Coturnix japonica: one gene and its partners. The protein of the gene in region 4 interacts with the protein of the main gene of each other region in a pairwise test. Links are inferred from orthologs where the notes say so. Each region holds a gene or a part of one and is shown on either strand. Other genes may lie near its edges.

What was found.
Region 1: the proteins of EIF4ENIF1 (region 4) and EFHC1 interact in binary tests that used the Homo sapiens proteins (3 or more experiments, as listed by UniProt). The two-hybrid records come from large-scale screens. The link is inferred for Coturnix japonica from reciprocal best matches to the Homo sapiens genes EIF4ENIF1 and EFHC1.
Region 2: the proteins of EIF4ENIF1 (region 4) and EIF4E2 interact in binary tests that used the Homo sapiens proteins (3 or more experiments, as listed by UniProt). The two-hybrid records come from large-scale screens. The link is inferred for Coturnix japonica from reciprocal best matches to the Homo sapiens genes EIF4ENIF1 and EIF4E2.
Region 3: the proteins of EIF4ENIF1 (region 4) and EIF4E interact in binary tests that used the Homo sapiens proteins (3 or more experiments, as listed by UniProt). The link is inferred for Coturnix japonica from reciprocal best matches to the Homo sapiens genes EIF4ENIF1 and EIF4E.

Annotation. Positions count from the first base shown.
Region 1 is NC_029518.1:98,069,332-98,073,446, reverse strand, and holds part of EFHC1 (EF-hand domain-containing protein 1), read left to right. Parts: intron 1-1,857; coding exon 1,858-2,079; intron 2,080-3,552; coding exon 3,553-3,840; intron 3,841-4,115. UniProt on the Homo sapiens protein: Microtubule inner protein (MIP) part of the dynein-decorated doublet microtubules (DMTs) in cilia axoneme, which is required for motile cilia beating.
Region 2 is NC_029524.1:13,651,578-13,656,120, forward strand, and holds the start of EIF4E2 (eukaryotic translation initiation factor 4E type 2), read right to left. Parts: upstream 3,179-4,543; 5' UTR 3,004-3,178; coding exon 2,930-3,003; intron 2,718-2,929; coding exon 2,603-2,717; intron 1,167-2,602; coding exon 1,032-1,166; intron 1-1,031. UniProt on the Homo sapiens protein: Recognizes and binds the 7-methylguanosine-containing mRNA cap during an early step in the initiation. Acts as a repressor of translation initiation.
Region 3 is NC_029519.1:53,875,976-53,880,090, forward strand, and holds part of EIF4E (eukaryotic translation initiation factor 4E), read right to left. Parts: intron 3,279-4,115; coding exon 3,183-3,278; intron 1,940-3,182; coding exon 1,876-1,939; intron 1-1,875. UniProt on the Homo sapiens protein: Acts in the cytoplasm to initiate and regulate protein synthesis and is required in the nucleus for export of a subset of mRNAs from the nucleus to the cytoplasm which promotes processes such as RNA capping, processing and splicing.
Region 4 is NC_029530.1:7,949,648-7,953,762, forward strand, and holds part of EIF4ENIF1 (eukaryotic translation initiation factor 4E transporter), read left to right. Parts: intron 1-1,683; coding exon 1,684-1,757; intron 1,758-2,570; coding exon 2,571-2,698; intron 2,699-3,252; coding exon 3,253-3,548; intron 3,549-4,115. UniProt on the Homo sapiens protein: EIF4E-binding protein that regulates translation and stability of mRNAs in processing bodies (P-bodies). Plays a key role in P-bodies to coordinate the storage of translationally inactive mRNAs in the cytoplasm and prevent their degradation.

The DNA of each region.
Region 1 (4,115 bases), on a different chromosome or scaffold from region 4:
GAGACCCTGGGAGGAGAAGCAGTGTTTATATGAAGCTCTACAGACATGGCAAGAAATACTTAATTCAGTAGCATTTCTCCAATATGGGCTGGCAGCAACTGAGATTAGGAGTTTACATTCTGGGTTTTCCCTTTCAGTTTTGCATTACTCACCTGATATTGTGAGATGTAGCCTGGCGTTCATGCCCTTAAAAGCCTGTGTGCTTCTGACAAGCGCTGATATTGCCAATCTAAGGACAAACTCCTTGGTTTTCATTGAATGTTTCCCTTGGTATTTATTGAACAGAAAGGAATGGCAATCCTGTGGCAGGGCTGCTGTTTATGAAACATTCTGTTAACGTGTCTCCAGTAAACTATCTTGTTTTCACCTGAATGTGTTTTCCTAACTGCACTGTGAGATGCGTAGTACCAGCTCAGAGAGAAAACAGGCAATTATGTGAAATTCAAGTGAGGCCTTGAAGGTATAAATAAGATTAGAAGCTTAACCATGGGGGGTGAGGGAGGGGGAGGAGGAGAAGTGGTTCACATGCCTGAGGCTGGGCTGATTGTGAGTCTGGCAAAGGAGCTGAAGCCTTTTCCTTTGGCGCTAGAAATGCCTACAATTCTGTTTGATTTGGCAAAACTGAAGGTAAAAGCAGATACTTTATCATAGAATTATAGAATGGTTTGGGTTGGAAGGGACCTTTAAGATCATCCAGTTCCAATCCCCCTACTCTAAGCAGAGACATCTCCTTTTAGACCACTTTGCTCACAGCCCCATCCAGCCTGGTCTGAAATGCTTCCAGGGAGGGGGCAATGCTTCCATGGAGGGGTCATGCTCATGGACTCACAGTTTCTCCTGCTTTCCTTGTTACAAGTGCCGAAAGCCTAGTGGGACCAGCCAGCCACGTGTTGTTCCAAATGCTTTCAGCAGCAGATGTGGGCTGTACTGCAAGCTGAGTAGCCTCCTGCCTGCCAAGTCCAATCCTCCTCTTCAGTGGAGAAGAACGCAACTGGGCAAACAGAGCTGACATCCTATTCACAGCTCAGATGCTTTCTTCTGTGCCCTTAAGCAAAGTGGGGACCTTCCTGTGGCATGTGGATAATTATTTCACTTGAAGAACGGTTTGATAGCTGACACGAAGCAGATAGCAAAGGCAGGAAAGGCCTCTAAGAAGGTCAAAACTAAGAATAAACCAACAAAGCTAAAAATAACAGGAGAATCCTATCGCCAACGTTATACAGTGCTCACATAAACAGAATTGTTTGTCATAATGGGTTCCCCATAGATCTGCTATAGGACTTTACTCTGTGTCTGTGGTTTTTTACATGCAGACCCTTACATAAGTTGTGGGGAGAGGTGGTGAAACAAATGATATGCTTTGATGTGTTTCCTAATTCCAGTTCTAAAGACGTGACACATCTTGACCAGCAAGGGGAATCCTCTGAAATTGCAAGGAATATATAACAAAGAAGTAACAGAAAGAAGGTGCACATGCAATAGTCAAGGGAGCACCATAGGGCATAAGGGAGTGAGGTCCCTTGGAGCTTTGCACTGCTGTAGCACAGAGTAGGGAAGAAAAGGTCTGTGAGATAAATACTAGGGCAGATCAAGTGCAGTTGCCCCATTCTGGATGCTGAGGCTCGTGGTAAGTCTGTGCCAGTGCAAGGATTTGAGCTGACTCTGATGCTTTGTTCCTCCAATCACTCACTGTTTATTCAGCCTTCTTGATCTAAGCGTAAGTAACGGCTGCAGTAGGTTATAATAAATCACTGTGGAGGCATTCTGGCTATCAAACTGTCACTGGTTTTCTGTGCTTTTAGTAGCAATATCTACTAAGTGCATGTAGGATTTTAACAGCTGGATTTTCTTCCACAGAAAACATCCTTTCATCGCTCGCAGACGCTGGGCTACAAAAATGGGTTTGCCTTTTCTCGGCTGCCAACAGTGGGGTTCGGCGGGGAGCGACTGTACGTGAATCAGCCTACTCAAGCTGAATTAGATGAATTATGCTACACAGGACCCACACTGACCTACGGGGAAGCCAAGAAGATTACTCCTTCAGGCTTCGTTCCAGCACACGTGGCTTTTGACAAAAAGGTATAAAGAAGTTTATTCCAGGAATATTGGCTGGCCAAGTTCGGAGACATAAACAGTCAGCTCCAGGGTTCATGGGACAGCGTACAGCAGTTTTCAGATGCCATAGCCCTTAGTCAGAGACAGCTGAACCCCAGTCTGAAAGAGGCTTTCTTTGCTCAGGAGGAGGATTATAATACATAAACGATGTAAGACATTCCCTGCGAGTTACGCCGGAGCAATTCCAGCAGGAGTTTGAAAAGAAATTTGATTAATTCTGAAAAGCTTCAGTTTATAACCACTGCCCTGTAAAACACAGCCTGCCCTCCTGCATTTCCAAAAGGTTATTGAGGTTGTAACTGAGCTTGAACAGTTAAGTCTCTCTGCATTTGAGTCCCTGATAGACTGTCTAGCTTTGGTCTATCTATATATGCTCATGCTTGTCACCACAGCATGTTAGAGCCTGCTGCTCCAGCTGTACTTCCTGCATTACATCTTGGTGATCCTGTCAGACTAGGAGGTGGCTCTAGGTCTGCAATCCTGAGCTGACCCTCACTTTTAAACGTGCTGGTTGCACAGACTGCAGCTGCAGCCAGAGCAGTCCCTGCAGAGCATGAAAGGCTCGGCAGTCCTGAGCACATGCAGAGGTTGCACCCTGTCTGGCAGGTCTGGAAAGGCAGCCCTCCTGGGAGACAGCATGAGGGACAAATATCCTGTGTTAATTACTGCTTCAGGGGCCATTCTTTCAGAGTAACGTAGATGGTGCTGTTTTAATGTCAGATACTTCCCTGTCCCTTCATTCAAACTATAGTAGTAGCTACTTGATTACGTAGGTCAGTGGGCTGGGTATGCAAGGCTTGATTACCCACCTACATCCTCTTAGGAGCAATGAATGCTCTTGGAGGCAATATTCCTTGTGCTTCTATCATTCACGGGACTGAGACTGACTGGCTTTTGGCAGGGTATGCAGCGTGAGTTTCCTCTGTGTCCTGATTTCTCTCTTTATTCCTTCAGAACAAATTGCCTCTTCCTGCCTGTGCTGGATAGATATGAGTTCAGATGAATGAGGCAGGTCCTAAAAACCACAAATGTCATCAAACTGTTAACTAAAATCACCAGATCATTTTTCAGACCCTTGTTCAGGGGGTCTGATTATTAAAGAAAGTCAGATGTGTCTGTAAATTAGATTACTGACAGTAACCAAGCACTCGGTTAGTAGGTAGAATAACAGATGATCATGGAGAAAAGAAAGTGCTGTATTTATTACAAGTATCTTGTGTAACCAAACTTAGAAAAGCCCTATTGAAGCCTCCACCATCAGTCACAGATTGGGCTAACAGTTGGCCTTGATGATTTTATAGATTAGAATCCAGTCATTTTTCACTGTCAAAGCCCATTGCAAGTACAATTCTTTGTATTAACTTTGTATTAACAGACTAACTGTGGTGGTCAAATTGTTTCTTTCCCTCTCTCTTTGGTATCTTGTCCCTCTGGCAGGTTTTGAAGTTTGATGCCTATTTCCAGGAAGATGTTCCTCTCTCTACAGAAGAGCATTACCGTATTCGCCAAGTGGGTATCTATTACTATTTGGAAGATGACACCATATCTGTCATGGAGCCTGTTGTGAAGAACTGCGGTTTTCGTCAAGGCACATTTATCAGACGTCATCGCGTGCCCAAGAATGCCCTTGGGGATCCTTACCACTGGAAGGATCTGAATCGAGGTATCAACATCACCATGTATGGCAGGACATACCGCATTGTTGACTGTGACCCATTCACGCAGGTGAGTTCCTTATATGGAGAAACTGACATGAGGAATCCCAGGAGTTACAAGGTGGAAAGATTTGTTACAGTCCAGTCTGGTATTCTATACCTGTAGCTTTCACACTGAGATTGCTTGTGATCTTTCATTCTGTGTTTTGTGGAGACTTCTTTCCTCATATAACAATAGGTATTTCAAGGTACAATATTTGCAGTGAGCACAGCTACTGTTTAGTACTTTAGACCATTCTCTTTCCTGAAGACTACACCCTACAAAACAAATTCTAAGGTTGTTAT
Region 2 (4,543 bases), on a different chromosome or scaffold from region 4:
CTATTAAGCAGATCAGCAGTGAAGCTGGAGGGGTTGGACACCATTCCAAGTACTTTATCAGAGACCTCGATGACTTGGTCAGCACTTGGAATTCTGCTTCAAACTCTGATCTCTGCCATCCAAACAGAAACTTGCTTTTATAGTCAATATAATTACGAATCAAGGCTGAGATGGGGTCAGAAACAATCTATTTCTGCAAGATAATTTCTACACTGCATTTGCATGCAAGTTCTCAATGAGTGTACCTGCCCTCTAGCGGTTAGAATTTAAAAGCTTTGACTTACAGGTTTCTACTGAAAAGCAGAGGACAAATGTGAATCCAGGCTTCAGCTCAGACAGTCCCTCCTGGAGCTTATTCTCTCTCCTTTAACAAAACTTGGAACCAAATCTTCTGACCAACCTCTTTCCAACCTACCTGAATTCTAGCATTTCCAGCCTACAGTATCAATCAGAAAATCTTTACAGCAAAGAGCAGACAACCCAACACTGCCTTTCCAGTACTTACTTCATTCTAGGAATAAAAAACCACGAACAGCTAAAGGGTAAAAGGAAGAAAAGTTTCCCCTCCAACCAACTTCACTGCAACACTCAACTGTACCTCAGTCATCACTTCCACAGCAACAGCAGACACCATGCCAAAAGCTGCTTACACATCAAGAACACCAGATGACTGTTCTTAACACACTTTGTGGTGGAAATACTGGGGGTAGAAGGGAGCAGCTGTACAGTCATTGCTTCACAGCTCTTTCTTTCTTCTCTTGCTCACTTGTCAAGCACTGCTGCAGCTAGCAGGTTACAGTTATAAGAGCTCTCACCATTCTTCTATTATTATTCCAGCTAACACAACGCAGAGGAGAACTGCTTAGGACACTCCACCTGCTGTAGGTAGTTAAAGAACTCACCTGTAAGTCCTCTGCTCTCAACAGCAGAAGCACAGCATGCACGTGCATATGCTCAACATACAGAGAGTAAGCCAGCCGCAATGACTACATCATGTCCAAGTGGTACAAGCACAACAGGGATATACTCACTGAGGCAAAGGTGCCGATCTGTTTGATGTTCTGTTCATAACTCTGTGAGCTGGTTGGCCTCCCAGGTGTTCGTCTGGAGTACCAGAAAGTGTAATTATACTGCAAGGGGTGCTCAGCTGGTCCCGGGACAACCGCCTGCAGAACAGAAAACCTTGCTTAGCCCTAATATGCTACTCTACAGCAGGAATGGAAAAAGAAATACATTCACAGCATCAGAAATCTACATGTTCCCATCCTAACAGAGTGTAAAACAAACAATAAAGCCTGACTTTCACTGAAAAATGCCATTACTGTTAGTTGACTTTCATGGACCATTAGGCTAACAGCAGCTGGCCATTCCAAAGAGTATTAGAAATTAGCTGTATGTTCACAGTTAAGGAAATAAGCTCTAGGAAGAGACACACATAAACAGGCTTCATAACAATTAAAAACAGCATTATTAAATTTACCTTTTAATTCCGCACTGTGACTGTCTCAAAAGAAAATGACAAACTGAAAACAGCAATATTTTCTTCTGAATGAAAAAAAAAAAGCCATTTTTCCCTATGAAGAATAAAACACATATACTAAATCATGCTTTAAAAGCATTACAACTGATTGCTAACTGCAGCTCCCCTTAAGCAACTGACACTCCCAAAACTCTGTGAGGATTATTCTGTCTTCTAATGAGTGTGAAAAGGGGTTAACAAGAACTTATTACCCAGGAGTCAAAACTGACATGACACAAGATGAGGGCTTTGGGTTTTTGGTTTTTTTTTCCACTTGGTATTGCTGCAGGAGTAAAGAGCTTAAATCTCTATTCTTTTCTTGTCTATAGTAAATTTACAATGATATAAGCACAAGATTAAAAATAAAAACAACAAATAAGCATAGAATTATAGAAACATAGAGTCATATCCACCTTCTCAACCAGGGTACACTGCACTCAATGAGATCCCATCTTAAGAGTAATGTCAACAGCAGGACAAACACAGTTTGTAAGCCAGCAAAAGGCCACCATTCCTCTGTCAATCACTCTCTTCCCCACATCCTCTTCCAAATATTGTTTTCAACAGTCAGGGGAATAAAGCTTTATTTTTTTCTAACATAAGCAAAAGCCTGGCTGCTCCTAGTTGCAATTACGAAGGAAGTATGAAGGAGATTCAGGCTGGACATTAGGAAGTATTACTTCTCAGAAAGGGTAGTCAGGCATTGGAATGCACTGCCCAGGGAGGTGGTGGAGTCACCGACCATGGGAGTGTTCAAGAAACGTTTGGATGTTGTGTTGATGAACATGATTTAGCTGGGAAGTATTGGGAATGATTGGACTAGATGATCTTCTGGGTCTTTTCCAACCTTGATAATTCTGTGATTCTGTGAAGCGTTCACCCCACAGATTATATACCTCTAAGAACTCCAAAATGAAACTTCAAAATCAGACAGAGTAAAAGAGTTCTTCCATCATCATTACCACAGCAACAAAACATAACATGACCACAGTCCTCCAAGACATTTTTCCTTATCCTTAAACTGAGGGCTCCAGTACTCTCACCTCAAGCCCTGGTGAGGGGATGCAGCCACCAGCACCTTACCTTCCTCTTGGTGGTACTCTGTGGCTTCTCTCGATCATTTTTTTCCTTCTCACTGTCTTTCTGTGTGTTATTCTCCTCGTTCTGGTCATGGTCTCCACTATCATCATCTTTCAATCTGGTAATGAAGAAGACCAGTGGCTGTGAGCATTATATCTTGGAGCTGGGAAGTTTCACAGCAAGCAGCAGCAGCAACCTCTTTTTATACTCTCCTGCTAATGCTTGACACACACTCAGGCACATGCAAAACCGAGATACAAGTGAATTCAAGCACTCAGTAACCGACCACAGACCCTCTGCAAAACAACCCCACCGTGTGGACCCTCCAACCTGCCGGCAGCATCCACAGAGCCCCCAGTGCAGCTTTCTGCCCCTCCACAGCCTGTGCCGGCCACGGCAGCCATCACCACCCTCACGCCTCAGTGCTCCGGGCCTGCCCCGCTCCCTGCCGAGGGCAGGAAAAGCTGAACGAGAACCGTGACCAACAGGCCGGCCCGGTGCACAACGAGGCCTCCCGACAGAGAGCAGGGCCGGGAAAGGGGCTGTGTGCGGCCCCGTGACTCATGGCGGATGGGAGCCGCGGGCAGGGCCCGAGCCACGCCGCCGACTCACGCGTCGAATTTGTTGTTCATCGTCGCTCGCTGCCGCCACCCCCGTCCACCTCAGCGACTTCCGCTCCGCCGAGTCCGCTCTCCAAAACCTTCCGCCACTTCCTGCGGCGACAGCGCCGCCATGATCCCCGCCCCGCCATCATGGGGGCGGAGCAAGGCGGAAGTGGGAAATAGACATTTCCGGCCGCCATCTTGGTTCTTGTACTCATGTATATGGATATGAATATATATGTATATGGATATATACATGAATATACAAGGACAGTGACACATCAAAGTGCAGATGCGTGTATTTCTCACCTTATTCTTACAGATACACCATAGTTTAGAGACATACTAATATACATACTGCCATCATAAAGCGGTACTGTTGGCATCTGAACCAGTTATGAAGAAATCTGTGGTCATTTGAACATGTTGTGTATGAATATAGATCATGGGTCATCCTTTATCTGCAGATATAAGAGAGGTGCTGAGCTTTAAGAATCTTTTAGTACTGTAACAGATTTCCAGCAAGACAGATTTATCCATATATGCATATCCACAGAATCCGTACAGAGTTAAGTTGGAAAGACAGCAGCTCTACTAGAAAAGTAATGACTGGCTGAGGAACGTAGTGTACAGTCAGCTTTGTTCCAGTCTACAGTGGAACAACGTTATTATCTGTGTGGTGACTGCCAAGGAACACCAGCAAGTACTTAGGCAAAGTGCTGGGCTTTTGAAGTGCAATTCAAATAGATAAATAACAGTCTTTCAGAAGGAAGAGGAGGAGGATGTGGGAAGACAGCTGGAAAATATCTGAACTGCAAATGTTTTAAATACGTTGCAGCTGCACAAGAGACAAATACTCGTTACCTTTAATTTCCTGAGTGAAGTATGCGTCACTGAGGATCCATGACTCTCCAGGCACCCAGCTCTTCTGGTGGTTCCTGGTCTCACCCTTAATAAGTGTTTGCAGATCCTGCAAGTGTGTTAGTGCCAGCAGCTGTCTCATTAACACAGGGCTGAAGCACTTTGATGGTGGTGGGAAGGTTTCTTAGAGCTGCATGTGGAAATACAAGCGCAAGGAATACTATGACTATCTGGGCTTCATAGCTTTGTTTAGAGCCTGAACTGTCAAAGCTGAGCCATGTCTAACCATTTCTGTGACGCAGGTGTATTACTTATCTGAATATAGGAAATAAATGCCCACATAATTTTTTTAAAGTTGATTTTGGAGGCAAGATCTGTGAAGGGTGACCATTAGTATGCAGGTATTTCTCAGATCACTTACTCTCCTATACTGACTTTGAGATTTGTGGCATTTAAATACCCTTGGATACAATTCTTCTTG
Region 3 (4,115 bases), on a different chromosome or scaffold from region 4:
AACAATAACTGAAACAGCACCAATAAGTATAGTTTGAGATACATACTTGTCTAGTATGAAAATACTAGAAAGTATTTTCTTTCTAGTAATACCTCTGGACCAACAGTAAAGTTCCACAACTGCTTAAAAACCACACCTTTCCTAGTGTTTTTTTTAAGCTGTCGTTTCCACGAAAGATTGTCAGCCCAAGCTGAAGCTTTAGCTACACAGTAGAGCATGAAATATATTGCAAAGTCAATCATCCACCTTGCCCTCTCTGAAACCCGATAAAATTAGCAGCCGCATTCTGGAGTCTTTATTTTAAGTCTTGGACTCAGCACAACGTTGGCCAAGTGCTCCACTTATGCGTGAAGATTACTTCACTAAAAACACTCTGGCAGTCTCTCTTTGACTTCCTGCACACATGGGGTGAAAATAAGAGGGTTCTAATCACTAGGGCCAGAAAAAAGGAAATAAAAGAGAATCAGCAGACCATTTAGAAATAAGTCACAGCCTTATTCATGCATTACCAGTGGCCCTGTACCACATTAAACAACTCTGGATGCGTTGAACCTGCAAACAAGTCAGCAGCCACTCCCATATCTACCAGCTACGCTGAACTTCAGGAAAGAAGGTCAGTCATTAAAAAAAGCAGGTAATTGTCTGGTCAGAGAAATTCAGACAAGAAATAGCTACAAAGAGAGCCACATTATAGAATTTCAACTGCAATCTAATTAAATGCTCAACCTACAGGATGGAGCAGAGCCAGTTCACTTTCTCAAATTTAACACCCTCACTGGCAGCTGCAGAGCTCAAACTGCTTCATCACCTTTAAGGGGAACTCTTATGAGGTCACAATTGAAGGACAACAGTAAGAGGTCACTCAAGTCTGCAACAGCTGACAATTCTATACCTGTTCCATATAGATGGAAACTGAAGTTTCTGTTGATAACATGCAAACTCTGAATAGATGCACAGAGACAAATTTAGGATTCAGACAAGAACACAAGCATGACCTGTATTTTTCCTAAGATTTGAAGGGATCCGTTTCTTAACATTTACCAGTAAAGTTTCTCACAACATAAATATTGTTACCTTCTCAAAATCAAGCATAACTACCTCTTCACTGCCCAAAGCTGCTGGGATTTATAATTTGCGTACAGCCTACTGAGGGGTCCCTGCCAGGGTCTGTTTCATAAGCAAAGGAGAAGCCAGGCATCAGTACTTACAGGATTATTTACGTATCTGAATCCAGAAAGGAAGCTGTATGTTAGAAGCACTTCATAGAGGTTAGGGATTAATTTAGAGCTCCAAATCAGATGTCCACTCCAGACAAAAGGCAGGATTTCATGTATAATTTCTCCTTGGCATTTTCTGTTAACTAACTTGAATGCTCAATAACTTGTCAGCCTTGTGTACAATTTTCTATTTCATGCCTATAGAATATGGCACTTAACTTATGGTGTCATAAAAATTAATTACAGGAGCGCTGTGCAGCTGGCTAGTAGCGTTCATTCTGAATGCTGACAAACATCACAGTTCTGCATAGAACTCAGCTATGGCTAATTTCATGTGACAGTGACAACTGGAAAAATCTCTTTCATAAAACTAAGACTTAATGATTCGTACAAACACCTAAAAGCTAGAATGAAGACAAACATAACTACAGATCAAAGCGTGATGGATTTAAAATGCTCAAGGAATTACTTGCATTTTCAGTATCAGTAACTGTGATTTTCAGAGTGCACTTTTGGGACTTCCTAAAAATTAAGACTTTTAGGACATCTCCAGCTGTGCTCCTACATGTCTGAAATGAAATGTTTGGACACAGTCTTGCTTAGTCGGGAAACCATCGATCAACATCCACAATGGAAGAAAAATTGTTAGCAAGCATACCTTAAACAGCGAGTAGTCACAACCAGGCATTAAATTACTAGAGAGCTGGATATGGTTGTATAAACTATTGGAGGGAAAAACAGCAGGATTAAAAACTAAACATTATTTTAAGGTACAAAATGCTAAAAGAATTTAGGACATGTCTGAATAAAATACAAAATTTAAACAGCATTAAAGTAATTCAGAAGCAACCCTGTTACCTAGGTTTTTTCCCCCAGCAGTACAAAAGCATTAGCTTTAATGAGTTCTAGCTCAAAGAAGCAGAATGGAAGCTGGTTTCATCAACACTTGCTGGGCTCCTATACCACAGTATTTCCCAGAAATACCTTTCCTTCTTCTAAACTTAGTTCTAACAAGTTAAAAATAATAAACATAACTTACTGAACTTTCATGCAAAAAAGGAAGTTTTGTGCATGTGTACTCGTCCTCTATATATGCATAACAATTTAATAGAATAACAATTTAAACACCTATGGTTATTCTCTCTGCAGAGAGATTTTTAAAAGTATTCAATTAGATTTTATTCACTTCTGTACTCTGTAGTTGAAGACTGTAAGCCCGATAATTCAAACTGAAATAAGAACTCATATGGCAAGAACAGATGACTGGAAGAACAATACAAAATACAGCCAGAATTAAATTCACGACTATGCAATTGAGAGCTAAGAAGTTGAGGCAGTTCATACAGCCTCCTAGCAAGAAGGCAGGTGCTTTTCTTTCCTGCACTGCTAAGGTGACACTTCAGAAGATGGTCTGCATCAAACACTAAACTGTAGTTCAAGACTAACTAACACTTAGGCATGGTCCAGTACTAAAAAGAAAACTAACTACTTCAACTTATTTTATAGCTTGACTGGAGACATCTGAACACTTTTCCACTACAGCCTTGATTACACAGCTCAAAAACTTACCCATCACTAAGTACACTGATAAGCTTCAAACAACTTATCACATATCCCACCAGGGGGATGCAAAAACTGTTTTCAAGAACTGAGTCCTGCTCCCCTTCCTCCAATGACTGTACTGACAAACATCAGCTTAAAATCTTCAACACGTTTCCTCTCTGATGGTGCTACTTTCACTGATGTGCATTAAAAATATGAAGAACTTCTCCAATTACACATAATTCAAATGTTATATTATTCTGGGTTACATTCTTGCAAACTCTGAAGAATCAAGATCTGGCCATTAATTTTATAGGTATTTCCAAAGAGTTGTGGCTAATGAAAAACTTTACACCTTCTGATTTCAGCATAAATTTAGCTATCACATATCAGCATTGTGCAGACCAAGGCATGTTTACTTACGCCCAAAAATCTTCAACAGTATCAAACTTTGAGATCAGACGGAGATTTGCTTGCCAAGTTTTGCTCTTGTCATTTTTAAAAAACCAGAGCGCCCATCTAAAGGAGAACAGAGTACAGAATAATAGCATCTAGAATTAAAGCACGTTACAAATAAAATTCAGTACTGATTATATACCAAGTAATCGCAAACCTCAAGAGGTTATTAGCACGGAAAGCAGTTTTCATTAGCTGGCAATGTGAAAAATTCATTTCTAAAATCTAGCTCTACAGCATGTATCCTAGAGTTACAACAGTCATGGGAGACTTGATTATCATATCAAGTAATTACATCATATCAAGTTATATTATCATTGAGGTAATTATTTCTAATGTGTTTGGGTCATTTCTAAGACTAAATCTCTAAGCCTCAGATGATTCCCCTTTTTGCCACTGGTAAACTGCAAAGTCCTCCCACCAGTAACAATCATGGTTTGAAGCAGTGCCAACTATCCCAATCTGGAACTCAGCTGCCTATTCCATAATTTCTCTGTAAAAGTCAAAAGCTAATTCTAGTGTATGCATATAGATGAATGTCTCCCTAGCATTCACCCACCGGGAGAACAAATTTCAATAGAAGTCACTTGAATTCATTTTTTATAAAACTACCAGCTTAAGCTTCACTTCGGGTTTTTAGATTCACACAAGTGAATACTTAAATTTTCCACCCTATTTTCTTCAACGTCTCAACTGAGTACAAGTTTCAACACCTACTATTAGAAAAAAAGAAATCATCTTTACACTCAAAGACATTCCTTAGGAATCAGAAGAATATTGTCTAAAATGCTGGAAGGAGATACCTGAGAGGTGTTTAACAGAAGAGGCCTACTTCTCATGTTGATCACTTCAGGAGCATTGAGCTGACTCGAGTTACCACTAGAGTAGATTTATCTTGCC
Region 4 (4,115 bases):
TGGTGTTGGATAGTGTTGTTAATAATCCTCATACCTACATCAGACTATGATAATATTACCACATTGATGTTCCTCATAGATCAAAGTTTATTTTGGGAGGCCATGGGCAGAGAGTCCAGTCTCCTTCTTTTTAAATAGTTGCTGTCCGGGTTGTCAGATGGTGCTGGGGAAAGACTCATTTTGCTGAGGACTAGTGCAGGATTATGCTGAGGAAGTACATTTGTATGGTAGGTGGATAAAACCTTAACACATGAATGATCCTGGGCATTGCTTGTTAATGTAGCCACTGATCTGATTTTTTTAGATGCATGGGAATAATGATGTGAAAGCTGTTGTGTAGATGCTTTACTCTTGGATTACAGAACCTTCTTCAGTATGGCTGATATGGTGTCTACTGTTTGGGTCTTTGTCCTTCCTGATAAGTTCTCAGTACAGTACAGCTGGAAGGGAGGCAGATTAAAGAAAGGCAATCTACAGAAGATATCTAAGAGTTAGAAATGCGCATCTTTACTATGTGTAGCTCTGGTGATCCAGAGTGCTGACAACACTTAGTGCTTTTTGAATGTAGCAAGCTACAGTGAGAAGGTAAGCTGCTTGTCTCCCTAAAATGGCTGGCTAGTCAGGGTGCACAGCTATCAACTCAGGAGTGTATTTGGAAGCTGGTAGGAATTGCTAAATGATATTTCAGTTTTACATCAATTTGTCTTGGGTAGAGTCACAATAGGTGATGGTTTCGAGTAGGTGATGGTCAAAAATGACAAGCTTGTCTGGTATTTCCAGATCTGCTTTAGTGATTGATATTGTGTAATGCTTTTATTTTTACAAACTGAACTTTACACAGCATTGAACACAGCGATTTTCATTCTATCTTGAAAGCTTGCTAGCTTCAATGTCAGTGCTTGTTGTGCTTGTAAGTTAAATTGTGCAGGGAAATGGATGAGTTAACATGGCTGATGTGGACAGCCTTAAGTGTTAACGGAGCCCAAATCTGACCTAGTAAGATTTTGTACTTCAAGTGAGTATGGATTTGAGGTTAATGTTTGTGGGTAAAACTTGTTTTATTCTTGTCATCTATAGTGGTAGACATGGGAGGAAACATTAATTTACTTGCTAAGCACTGCTACTACTACTTTGTCATTCACTAGAAGTCATACTGATTTGTTAGATAGGTCTGTATGATTAGTTTCAGATCATTTTCAGAAACCAACTTCTGTTTTTAAACACTTCTGGTTTCTGGAAGTGCTATACTGACTTATATAGACGTTGTCTAAATTCTAGGTTAGCCCAGTGAAATTCTCTTTTGGAACCTGAGTCACACTCTAAAATTTGTTCTGTGTTGATAATGGTGCTGTAACTTATTCTACAGGTTGTCAGTGTTATGGGTTGGACTCGCTTTCCTTTCTCAAACAGCATTACGTTGTCTCTGTCATTGTAGAAAGAGGTAATGGAGGTGAGGTGTATAGTTCTGATTAGTTGAGAGTGTGCTCAAAGGCTACTGGTGGAAGAACTGAAAAATAAACCAATGTCAACTTTTCACTGTTGTATTTAACAGTAAATGAACTAACACAATGACATGGCTTGTCAAATGAAATGGCTAAATCAAATAGGTAGTTTGGAACAGATGTTTGAGTCACTTAAATCGCGTCTGGGTGAGAATTAAAACTGCTTGCTCTTTTTTTCTAGGAGGAACTTCTGGATATTAAAGAGCGTCCCTACTCTAAGCAAAGACCTTCTTGTCTCTCTGAAAAATATGACAGGTATTTTCTTGATTATACTGAGAACTACATCTGTTTCCAAAGCAGAAGTTGAAATATCAAGTAGTTCTTAGCTGGAAAGTTTCTCTTATTTTGATGCAAGTAAACTGAAGTATTTTCAGAAGTAATAATCTAATAGTAGAAACTGAATGTGCTAGTTGGGAAATTTGTACTTGGAAAATATTGTAATGTAAGATCCATAAGAAAATAACTTTTCACTGTACAAATCTCATAGACATACAGAAGCTATGCTTCAGCATGATTTTAGTGCTGTTTCATTTATTTAAAATGGTAACAAGAATATAGGTGGGTGTACAGCACTGACGAGGTCATGTTGCAACAGGCTGACTTGCTTAATGGATTACGCTCCCACGTTAACAGTGTACCTCATTTTAAAATGAAGGTGAGAGTATTCCTGCCTTGTGCTGAGGAGTTTGCTAAACAGCAAGATCTCCAATACCAGATTGTTCATTTGGACAAGTATGAGATGAAGAGAACTTCCAAAATGCCTGAGAACTGAGACACTTGATCCACTTGAGTTATTTTTATCATTGTGTCAGGCAAACTTCCTTGATACCTGGTGGGATAACATATGTTCTACAGTCTAAGTGTATATATGGTATACTTATGCTTATAGGAAGGATCTGGAATACTACACTTCACGACCTCATGTGGTAACTCAAAGATTCAGAAGTTAGGTGGGAGGTGGATCTTGTTCGTACCAGATGGCTAATGAGTTCTAGTTTGCAGCAACAGTGATATGATTTCTTTATTATGTTAGATGTAGTAAGTAATCCTGCACCTTTTTTTTCATAGTGATGGTGTCTGGGATCCAGAGAAGTGGCATGCATCTTTATATCCGAGTTCAGGGAGGACTTCACCAGTGGAAAGCTTTAAAAAAGATTTGGATTCAGATCGGACTTCTCTTATGCGTAGAATAGTAGGTGAGTATGTTACAGTACAGGAACCAAACTTAAACATAAGCTGTTGGCAAAACTTTCCCTTTGGGATGACATGAATATCTGAAAATTTATTACATAGAATAAGTATCAAGGAAATCTTGGTGATTCCAAGTATAACTTGTTCCTGGTATGCTATTAACTCTATGAAAACTAGCAGATTGTTATTGCCTGCTGTTTTTGCAATATAGTAGTAAGTACATTTGGAACAATGCAGTTATAGAGGGTAGTTTTCTGTGCTTCAAGATTGGGCATGTACTTAGGAGGTATAGATGAGAGCAGGGACTTTCTAGGTGACAGAGCAATGATTCCTTAATATCCAGCTGTGATTTTAATTCTCATCTTTCTGTGGTGTTTGGCAGGTTAGCCTCACAAAAATAAACTGTGGATGTTGTCCTTTGAAAAGCTCCAGGGGTAGCAGCAAGGCTGTGGTTTATCTTATTTTTTTATTTATCTTATCTGAAGGTTATCTTGTGGATAGCTAGCTTGTGCTTACTGCTGTATTCAACTAAATACTTTGTGTGATCTTTGATTTGTAGATCCAAGAGAGAGAGTGAAAGAAGATGACTTGGATGTTGTCTTGAGTCCACAAAGACGAAGCTTTGGAGGTGGCTGTCATGTAACTGCAGCTGTTAGCTCACGTCGATCAGGCAGCCCATTAGAAAAAGAGAATGACGGTGTCCGTGTTATTGGTGGACGTAGGATTGGCAGTGGAAGAATCATCTCTTCACGTAACTTTGATAAAGACCACAGGGGTGGTGAAAAAGATTTACGTGATTCTAGAGATGCAAGAGACAGAGAACGTGAGAGGGACTACAAAGATAAACGTTTCAGGGTTTGTTCTTTTTTCCTGGTTAAATATTTAAATAGTTTTGGACAGTCTGCGCTAAAAGTAACAGGAACAGGCTAACTGCAGTTCAGTGTTCCACACAAGTGGGCTTGTTCTTAAAGAGAATCTTCATGGTCCAATGGATGAGCACTGAGTTTCAGGTGTCAGTTCTTTCCTAGAAGAACTGGGATACATCCACTTCTGTGCATCCTACAAACCTCTCCTGTGATAAATGCAATAACAAGATATTAAGAAGTCTGATTGTTAATAGTTCTTGACCTAGCTGTTGTCAGCAGATGGAAGCTTTTATGCTTCAAGATATTTGTTTTAAATAATACAAAATATCTTCCTCTCAGGATACAGAACTGAGTTTATACAGGCCCTTGCAGACCAATAGCCTTTATTGTTGAAGCAGAAAGTCAGCGGTAAAGTTTAAAATTGAATAAGCAAGCTGGATGTGCTTTTAAAAAAAAAAAAAGGCAAGATGATGGGGGAAATAGTGTCATCTGCTTTGGAGGTCAGGGAGGAGTGTTATGAAACTACATTCAGTGGTTAACTTAATATTTTTAACAT